Linked DNA regions of Danio rerio. The protein of the gene in region 2 binds, or shares a complex with, the protein of the main gene of each other region. Links are inferred from orthologs where the notes say so. Each region holds a gene or a part of one and is shown on either strand. Other genes may lie near its edges. The genes, in order: ndp and fzd4.

The links.
Region 1: the proteins of fzd4 (region 2) and ndp are in contact, whole or in part, in a crystal structure (PDB 5BQE), measured with the Homo sapiens proteins. The link is inferred for Danio rerio from reciprocal best matches to the Homo sapiens genes FZD4 and NDP. Residues at the interface, in NP_036325.2 of Homo sapiens: Ser51, Met52, Gln54, Asn55, Leu56, Gly57, Gln95, Phe96, Met105, Thr107, Lys109, Ile114, Asn152, His154, Met157, Cys158, Met159, Glu160, Gly161, Pro162; in NP_000257.1 of Homo sapiens: Asp33, Ser34, Pro36, Arg38, Met40, Arg41, His42, His43, Tyr44, Val45, Asp46, Lys58, Met59, Val60, Leu61, Lys102, Lys104, Leu106, Tyr122, Leu124, Ser125.

The regions. Positions count from the first base shown.
Region 1 is NC_133184.1:35,437,285-35,441,889, forward strand, and holds the start of ndp (norrin), read right to left. Parts: upstream 2,893-4,605; 5' UTR 2,833-2,892; coding exon 2,728-2,832; intron 1-2,727. UniProt on the Homo sapiens protein: Activates the canonical Wnt signaling pathway through FZD4 and LRP5 coreceptor.
Region 2 is NC_133190.1:48,064,597-48,069,092, reverse strand, and holds the start of fzd4 (frizzled-4 precursor), read right to left. Parts: upstream 2,840-4,496; 5' UTR 2,589-2,839; coding exon 2,352-2,588; intron 1-2,351. UniProt on the Homo sapiens protein: Receptor for Wnt proteins.

The DNA.
Region 1 (4,605 bases), on a different chromosome or scaffold from region 2:
CTTTTTGGATATTTAGTGGTAGGCCATCAAAATACCTATTGCCCACCATTTTACTGCTATGAGTTCGAACAATGCTTATTTCACATTCTAAATACTATATATAGTAGGTGTTTTATCAGTAATCTTTAGAATCAGTCATACAAATAATTGATTAAGGTTTGTGCTCAATTGGGCTCCAGTCAATAAACTCTGTTACTTTGTCCTTCTTACTTTCACATTTAATTCTCTCCAAAGGGACCTCATTAACAATAACTTAAACTAGTCCAGTGATTAGCAGACTAAACCATAACAAAAAATGGGGAAGGATTATTAAATTTACATGTTAACTAAACATTAACATCTGCATTTTGTTTATGTATTGGTGCACTCTGTGGATACATTTAAGTTGTTTAAATCATGGCTCGTACAGTAGGGAAGTGATATATGGCAGATTTGTTATTTATTCAGCTTTTAAACAAATTGGTTGTGTAAATGACTCAGGGACTCACTAAAAGGTCGCCACCAACTAGTCTAGCAATGTAATTAGCTGAAACAGTCAATTACCCTCCCCCCAACCAAAAAAAAAAAAAAATCAGAAATTGATAGTAATTTTGACAAAATTTAACAAGAAATGCCACAGGAAAAATTAAAACTCAATTAGTTTTTTTAAAAACAGTATATTAAAAAACTGAATTGCCTGTGAATACGTTTACATGGACAACAATAATTCAATTTAATCCATTTAATGTGATTAAGACAATAGTCTGATTAAGAGTGTACCCTGTAAACAGCGATTTTTTATGACCTTAATCTGACTAAACTTATAGTCTAACTATAACCAGAAGTCGCATCATTGAAGTGCAATACAGACATGTAAACACCCTAATCAAACTATTATGGTCATATAGAATTTTCGCCACCTTTTGTGACTGGATAATCTATACATGCACGGCTGTTTCACACTATTCTCTGCACCTACCGAGTCGGTGAATGATCACAGGCACCTGCATCACGAAATGCTGAGTCTTTTTTTCCCCATACGGCGAGCGGTATCAAATTCCAGTAAAGCAATGGTCTTCCATCAGGTCATACTCACATCCTATATCTCGTTTGTCATGGGGGCATGAATGAAATGTTCCTGAATGAATGTGAAAGTGAGTACCTGCAGTTCAAGTCAAGAAATGAAATTAAAACACTCGAAATTACATGAAGTTCCGGAGGAAACGTGGAGAGCGTGGTGACACAATGACTTTAATCAAATTATGTACTATATAACATGGGTTATAAAATAGGATCATTAAGGAACATTTAAAAATCAACTCATGTAAACACCTTAATCATATTATTGTCTTTTTCAGATTAAGGCAAATTATTCGATTACTGATGTCCATGTAAACGTAGTTCGTTACAGAGAAAAGGTGAGGTGAGTTACATTTGAATCACTCAAATGTCCCTTGATTGCTGGAGTACTTTAATAAGGATATCAGAAGTGTCTGACAGCAGCTGAGTCTACAGTTGTTGAGTGAGGCGTGTGGTCACCTAGTATTTGCCAATAAGCAGAATTGTCTTCTCAGTCACATTGACATGCCCAAACCCCATCCTCCGGTGATGGGGTTACGTCACTGTTTTCTGCTTGTTTAGCACCCTATTGTTTGACCAGCTTTTAATAAACCAAAGGGCAGATTCCTGCAGGGATCACCCTGCACCCTCCTCCCATGCCCATCTGCAACCCAAGCAGCATGCCAGGGGCACTGCCACCACACGCCGACGCCAGTAACCCGCGTCTCCACAGCTAAACCCTACACTAAATATATCCCCAGTGATAAAGATAAGACAAACACAGCGGATTTGAACGGAGCTTGTTGCCAATAGCCGGGGCACCATGTGAGCCAATGCTAAACTAATGTTAGCTTTACATTTAGCTTCTCAGAAAAGCGTCGGTCTGGTTGGAATGCTACAGGATGAAAGGGTCTGCACACAGTAAAGCCGTGGCGGGGTTTCCAGTTAAATTAATTAGAGACCCTGTTATGTTGTCCTGTTAACCTTCCTGCTTGAATGTGATGTGCAAATTGACGGCTGTCGTCATCTTCTGAAAATACCTCAGGCTTTAATGCTTGATTTCTTTGTAAGGAGCATGCAGAGTCGTCAAAGGACTATTACGTAGTATCAATTATGAGTGAGTAATAATTGATACACAGCGCTGCTTGACATTGCCATAACATCTGGGGAGCAGTATGTTCTTGCTCACCTCGTCCTCATATTATCTATGATTTCTCATCCGAGGAGCTCAGCTAACGACCTCTGGCATAGCAATAAATTGAGTATTCAGTCCCTGCCTGTGCAAGACAAGCAGCTGAAGGCTTACCTTAGCAACCGACCTCCCACAGCCTCCTCATATATAATTTTACCTCGGCTATGAGTCACTTGGAGCAAAATCCCTATGTATGTGTTGTTCATATTAAAAAAAAGCATCAGGTAAAACTGGACTCATGCATTGTGAGGTAGATGGATGAGCCGAATTTCATCGCCAATTCTAGCAAAAAAAGATTTGAGATTTTTAAAGAAGTCTTAGTAGGATGAAGGAATTTCCTGCTGTCTACATGCATATTATTGAGTTTTCATATTTAGTATATCAATGTGCTGCTGAAATAACACAAACAGTACAATGCAAATGTATAGTGATAACCTTGCAGCCAGTAAAAAGTTACTTTGATGGCCCGGTCACCTTTATAACGCTGGTGGTCTTACCTTCAGCCTGGTTCCGTTTAACCTGCAATATCCAATCCCAGCTGGCTCCTCTAGGACAGAAATGAAATTTCTTAAGCAACAATTGCCTTTAGATCTCTCCCCCATCCACTTGCTCTCTTCTCTGTTTCCCTTTTACTCTCTCTCTCCCGCATGCCGATTGTGTGTGAGCTCTGACTCTTCCCCTCCCTCTCATCTCCCCTCCCCTTCGCTTCGACATTCACACCCCCTGTTTTATTGAGGAATCACATGGAAAAGGGAAAAGGATAGATGATGTACATCTTGGGATGGTTGTCAGATGTGGAACGTGACACAGCAGTCGTATATCACCTTAGGGACACACACACACTCGCCCCCAGCTGCCACACCAGCAAGCAAATGGGGATTCCAGCAAAATCAGAGGACTGACCAAAAGTATGGCCCTCTTTTACGAGGTCCAGGTTATAAAACTGTTAGCGGAGTTAGTTTACTTAAAAACAATTGGTCTGCTGGGTTTCTCTGCTGTCTTCTGCGAGGCTTGGGAGGTGTAACTCAATTCAGCTGGAAGCTATTTGGAAGTATGTAGTTATATGTTGGAAGAAAACGGGGAAAATGATTTTCTGTAGCATAAGAACGACTACAAAGGGGGACACTTTGATAGCTGTCTTTAAATCACGTCTTTATACTTTAGCACAGGTTTTGAAATTGTTAAATATGAAGAAATTCCAGTCAAATGCAAAGCACATAACTGCATTCTTGGGATATAAAATAAAAAACAGATGTGCAATTATGAGTTCCCAATGAGCGCATAATTACTATTTCACATCTCTGAGATGGAGAGAATCCAATGTTTTTCCCAAAGTTTGTCCTTCTGTGGCCAGAAAATGTCCTTTAAACATCACCGTTGAGAAGGCAGTTGAAATTAAATTACTGCAACTATTGGCACTAGAAGGGGAAAAAATTCAAGATATGGACTTTATCCGAAAGCGAATTAAGGGTTTGTGCCTTTAAAATATCCCATTGTCAGATTTTTATCCAGCTGTTTCCATAATACTGAGAACTTTGATTAAAAAAATACTTTTCATGAACACATGAAATAAATGCAGAATATTCAATAAACAACAGCAAATAATGACTAACATACAAGTTTTATTGGCATCAGTTGTTCAATTAAGTGCCTTTAAAGGGGTTGTTCACCCAAAAATGAAGATTCTGTTATTAATTATACAACCTTGTGTTGTACCAATCCCCTGAGACCTTTGTTCATTTTCCAAACACAAATTAAGATGAACTCTAAAGGGTCCCTCATCCTCTATAGACAGTGACAGTTCCAGAAAAGGCACCAAAATTGGAATTCTTAGACAATGTTCTTGGTTCCTTTTCTGGACTTTGACCATTTCAGCAATCAGCACCTTTGCTGTCTATAGAGGATGAGGGAGCTATCGTTTTTAATCTAAAATATATTAACTTGTGTTCCAAAGATGATCCAAAGTGTTAAGAGATTGGAACAACATGAGGGTGAGTTATTAATGACACAAGTTTGATTTTTATATATATTATACACTCATTTACTCGCTGGCCAGTTTATTGGGTACACCTGTCCAACTGCTCATTAACAAAGATTTCTAATTAGCCAATTACGTGGCAGCAACTCAATAGATTTAGGCATGTAGACATGCTCAAGTCGATCTGCGGCAGTTTAAACCAAGCATCCAAATGGAAAAAAATGGTGATTTAAGTTACTTTGATTGCAGCATGGTTTTTGGTGCCAGATGGGCTGGTCTGAGTATTTCAGAAACTGCTGATCTACTGGGATTGTCATGCACAACCATCTCTAGGGTTTACAGGGCATGATCCGAAAAAAGAGAAAATATCCAGTGAGCGACAGTTATGTGGGCGCAA
Region 2 (4,496 bases):
GTATTCAGCAATGTCTGAAATTAATTAGTTTTTATACATTTTATGCAAATGATTCAATCCCTTCCAGAATCATCACTAAGTAATGAATTATGTCCAAATACAGCTATTAAAGTCGTTTATATCACAGTATATAATGCAGTAAAACAAATTATTGCAATGTCACATTGTTTCAATATCGCGCAGCCCAAATATATACAATGATTACCATGTTATATAACATTTATTATTCAATTTATTTAGACTTTTATAATATTATGAAGCCCTAATTTCACGTATTGCACATTTTAGGAAGCTCTAAAGGGGAAATCAGCATGGTGGGAAAGGTTTCTTTTAAAGTAGCAGTTCACCCAAAACTGAAAGTTCTTCTCACCTCACTTGTTTTTATTTCATTTGTTGAACACAAAAGAAGATATTTTGAAGAATGTTGGAAACAGGTAACCATTGACTTCCATAGTATTTGTTTTGTCCTACAGTGAAAGTCAATGGTTACAGGCTTTTCAGCATTCTTCAAAACACCATCTTTTGTGTTCAACAGAAGAAACTCTTAAAGGTTTGGAACAATTTCAGGGAGACCAAATAGTGAGTTATTTTTATTTTTTGGGTGAACTATCCCTTTAGGGTTTCTTTGCATGAGTAGAGAAATTCAACTGAAAGTTCTTCTCCTTTCACTTGTTCTAAACCTGTTTTACTTTATTTCATTTGTTGAACAATCAAGAAGATAATTTGAAGAACGTTGGAAACCGGTAACCATTGACTTCCATAATATTTGCTTTGTCCTACAATGAAAGTCAATGGTTACAGGCTTTCCAGCATTCTTCAAAATATCATCTTTTGTGTTTAACAAAAGAAAGAAACTCATAAATGTTTGCAACAACTCAAACGAGACTAAATAGCGAGTTATTTTTAATTTGGGGTGAACTATCCCTTTAAGGATTTCCCTGCGCAAGTAGAGAAATTCAACTGCAAGTTCTCCTTTCACTTGCTCCAAATCTGTTTGAGTTTATTTCATTTGTTGAACAATAAAAAAAGAAATTTTTAAGAATGTAGGAAACCAGTAACCATTGACTTCCATAGTATTTGTTTTTTCTACTATAGAAGTCAATGATTACAGGTTTTCAACATTCTTCAAAATATCTTCTTTTGTGTTCAACAGAAGAAAGAAACTCATAGAGATTTGGAACAACTTGAGGGAGACCAAATAGTAAAATATTTAACTTTTTTTGGGTGAACTATCCCTTTAAGGATTTCCTTGCACGAGTAGTTTCCTATTCCGTCGTGCACTAAAAACACATTTATACACCAGCATGACATTTTAAAGATCTAAGAACAGAAGTGCTCTCCCTTTAAGATGTTTGTGGTATCTAAAGCTGCTTTAATCACGAGATTCTCCAGCAAACAAACATGGGAATCCTAGTGGGAGGTTTTGTCTCTGCTGAATCAATAAAACAACAACTGCCTCTGTCTTCAGTGCTCACACACACACACATACATACACACACATACACACGCACTTATGATGAGGACATCATACTGTCTTCAGAATAATCAACTTAGAATTATACCTAACGTGTGTTCGCAGTAAGTTTTTGATATATTTAGAATTAAGTTCAAATATATTAAGCATGTTTATGAACACTTTGGTTAAAATATTATGTCTTGCATGCTTATGAAGAATTTTTACCAATGTAGGAAGATAGATGTATGTTTTTAGAGGTTTTCTTTAGCATTTATTAAGGACAATTACTGAAATTTGATCATCACAAGTATAATGAGACAAACACTGTAAGGCAGAGTATAGTGTGTGTGCGTGAGTGTGGATTCTATACTCCTGCTGTGCGCACAGATTAGGTTCCTATTTATCCAAACTACTGTACTATAAGTAAGTACTTTATTGGCACAGTGATTTAAATATTTTTTTTTTAATATTACTATAACTTTAATAAGATTTGCACATCACAAATACTTCATAAAAATAAATCTACAATGTTCATCATAACAATAAGACATAAAATAAAATTAAACACATTTTTGCAACTTTGTCATTTTATTTAAGGGTAAATATAGTATAAACAATTATTACTATTATAAATCATTTTTCTACACTCTTTCTATGACCATTATACAATTAATACTGATAATAACAACAAAAATGATTACGAATAATAATAATACTACTAGTATTTTATCTTATTTGTTACTTTTTTACATAATTATGATGATTTATAATACTTTTAGAAGTGTTGCTTCATTATGAAGCCAAGATTTGAAAGCTGAGTGCAGTACTTCTGTGTGATGTGTGTGTGTAGGGTCTGGTTACAGTGTGTGTGTGTGTGTGTGTTGTAATCTCTCACCTTCAGCTGGCTCGAGCAGCCGTACTGTATGAGGGGTGTAAATGTGGTCAGTTGCAGCTCGGCGTCGGATTGTAGCACGTTTCCCACCAGATTCGGCATCTTGGTCACATTGTAGCCTAAATCCTGACACATGGAGATGCGGATCGGGTCGCAGGTCATCTCCTCCTCGTCCCCGAACGGGTGCGCGAGCCCGAACACGAGCACCAGTAGCGCAAACCCGAACTCAAACCGAGCCATAGCGACACAATCCGATTGATAAAAAGTCCGAGCAAATCACGGGAGCGTTAAAATTCCAGCCTACCGGAGTTCAAACGCGCCTATAGACAAAAAAACTTTCTCACAATCCCGTGCCAGAGCGAGCCAATCCGTTTAAAGTGCGAAACGGCACCGTGTCCCGTTAGTCCCGTTCCGGAGTAAACCGTACAGCGCTGTCTACTACGGGTATCAGTCGTTTTGAAGCTCGTCCGTGTGTCCGTGGCGCAGTCGCGCGGGTTCTGCCCGGTTGAGGTCTAGACGGAGACGGGACAGCTGCCCCAGGACCAGCGTCAGCCAATCACAGCCGCGCATCAAAGACAGGGGCGGGGCTTAGCGTGGCCACAATAACACCGCACAATAAAACAGATAAAGTGAGAGAGTTGTAAGTTTAGGTTGACTAGCCTGCACACCTTGTTGGTAAAATGTATATAGATAGTTAAAAACAACTCCATATTGGTTTAATTTTTGATTTACATTCTTCATTGTTTCTTGAATGTTTACAAATTATTGCTTATTAACCCAGTAATAACTGATTACAGTCAATAGAACTATAGTCTCTATTGTCTGTCTGCCATGTTACATGGTTTGTACTTATTAATACTAAAATTAATCTCTAAATGTAGTAGTAGTAGTAGTAGTAAACAAACCCATAATGACACTGATTAAAATAATATATGCATGTCATTTTATATATATATATATATATATATATATATATATATATATATATATATATATATATATATATATATATATATATATATATATATATTTCAAATGTTCTAAGGTTCAAATGGGTTGCTGCATAAAAAACATGTGCTGGATAAGTTGGCAGTTCATTCCGCTGTGTGGGGATGAAGCTGAAAAGAGAATGAATATATATATATATATATATATATATATATATATATATATATATATATATATATATATATATATATATATATATATATATATATATATATTATTATATTATTATTATTATTAGGCATGGGCCTAATAATTTTATCTATAACCTTAGATAAAAATATTACTGTTTCGCAGTATTGTGGTTACTGATCTAAAATATATTCTTTTTAAATGTCTGGGTAAAAACAAAAACTTTTTTCTTTGAACACAATATATTTTATTTTGAGAAACATTTATAATATTTTGGAGCAGTGGAAAAAAAAAAAAAAAAAAAAAAAAAAATATATATATATATATATATATATATATATATATATATATATATATATATATGTATATATATATATATATATATATATATTATTTATTTTTTTTTTTTTCAAAATTCAAATAAATCATTGCCTTCTCCTGTCTTCGTTAGTTTTAAAAACATTTTTTTACTATTAAAAACGGCATCTTTGGATATATTTAGCAAAAAAAAAACTTAAAGAACGTAAATAAAAAATCGTACACATACCTTAGGAATGGTATAGCAGAAATTTTTTAGCAGAAAAAATATATTAGGCATGGGCCGGTATAAGATTCTGATATAAAAACCTTGCACAAAAATATCAGTTTTTCACAGTATGACGGTATTGTGATGGTCTATATTTAAATGTCTGTGTAAAAAACAACAAGTTGTTTCCCATTGAACACAATATATTTTATTTAAAAAAAAAACATTTCAGATATTTTAAAGCAGTAAACATGTTTCAACAGTAAACATGGCTGAATAATTAAAATAAACAATAGACATCTGCTATCTTCATGAGTTTAAATAACTATTTGACAAGGTGTTTTTCAAATAAGCCACTGCACTGTTCAAGTCCATAACATGTTTGTATGTTGGTTTATTAGCGATTTGTTTTTACTTGTTTGCCGAATAGTGGGCTAAACAGCTTTTGATGTGGAGGTTCCTTTTCAGCTGGTGATACTGTTTCC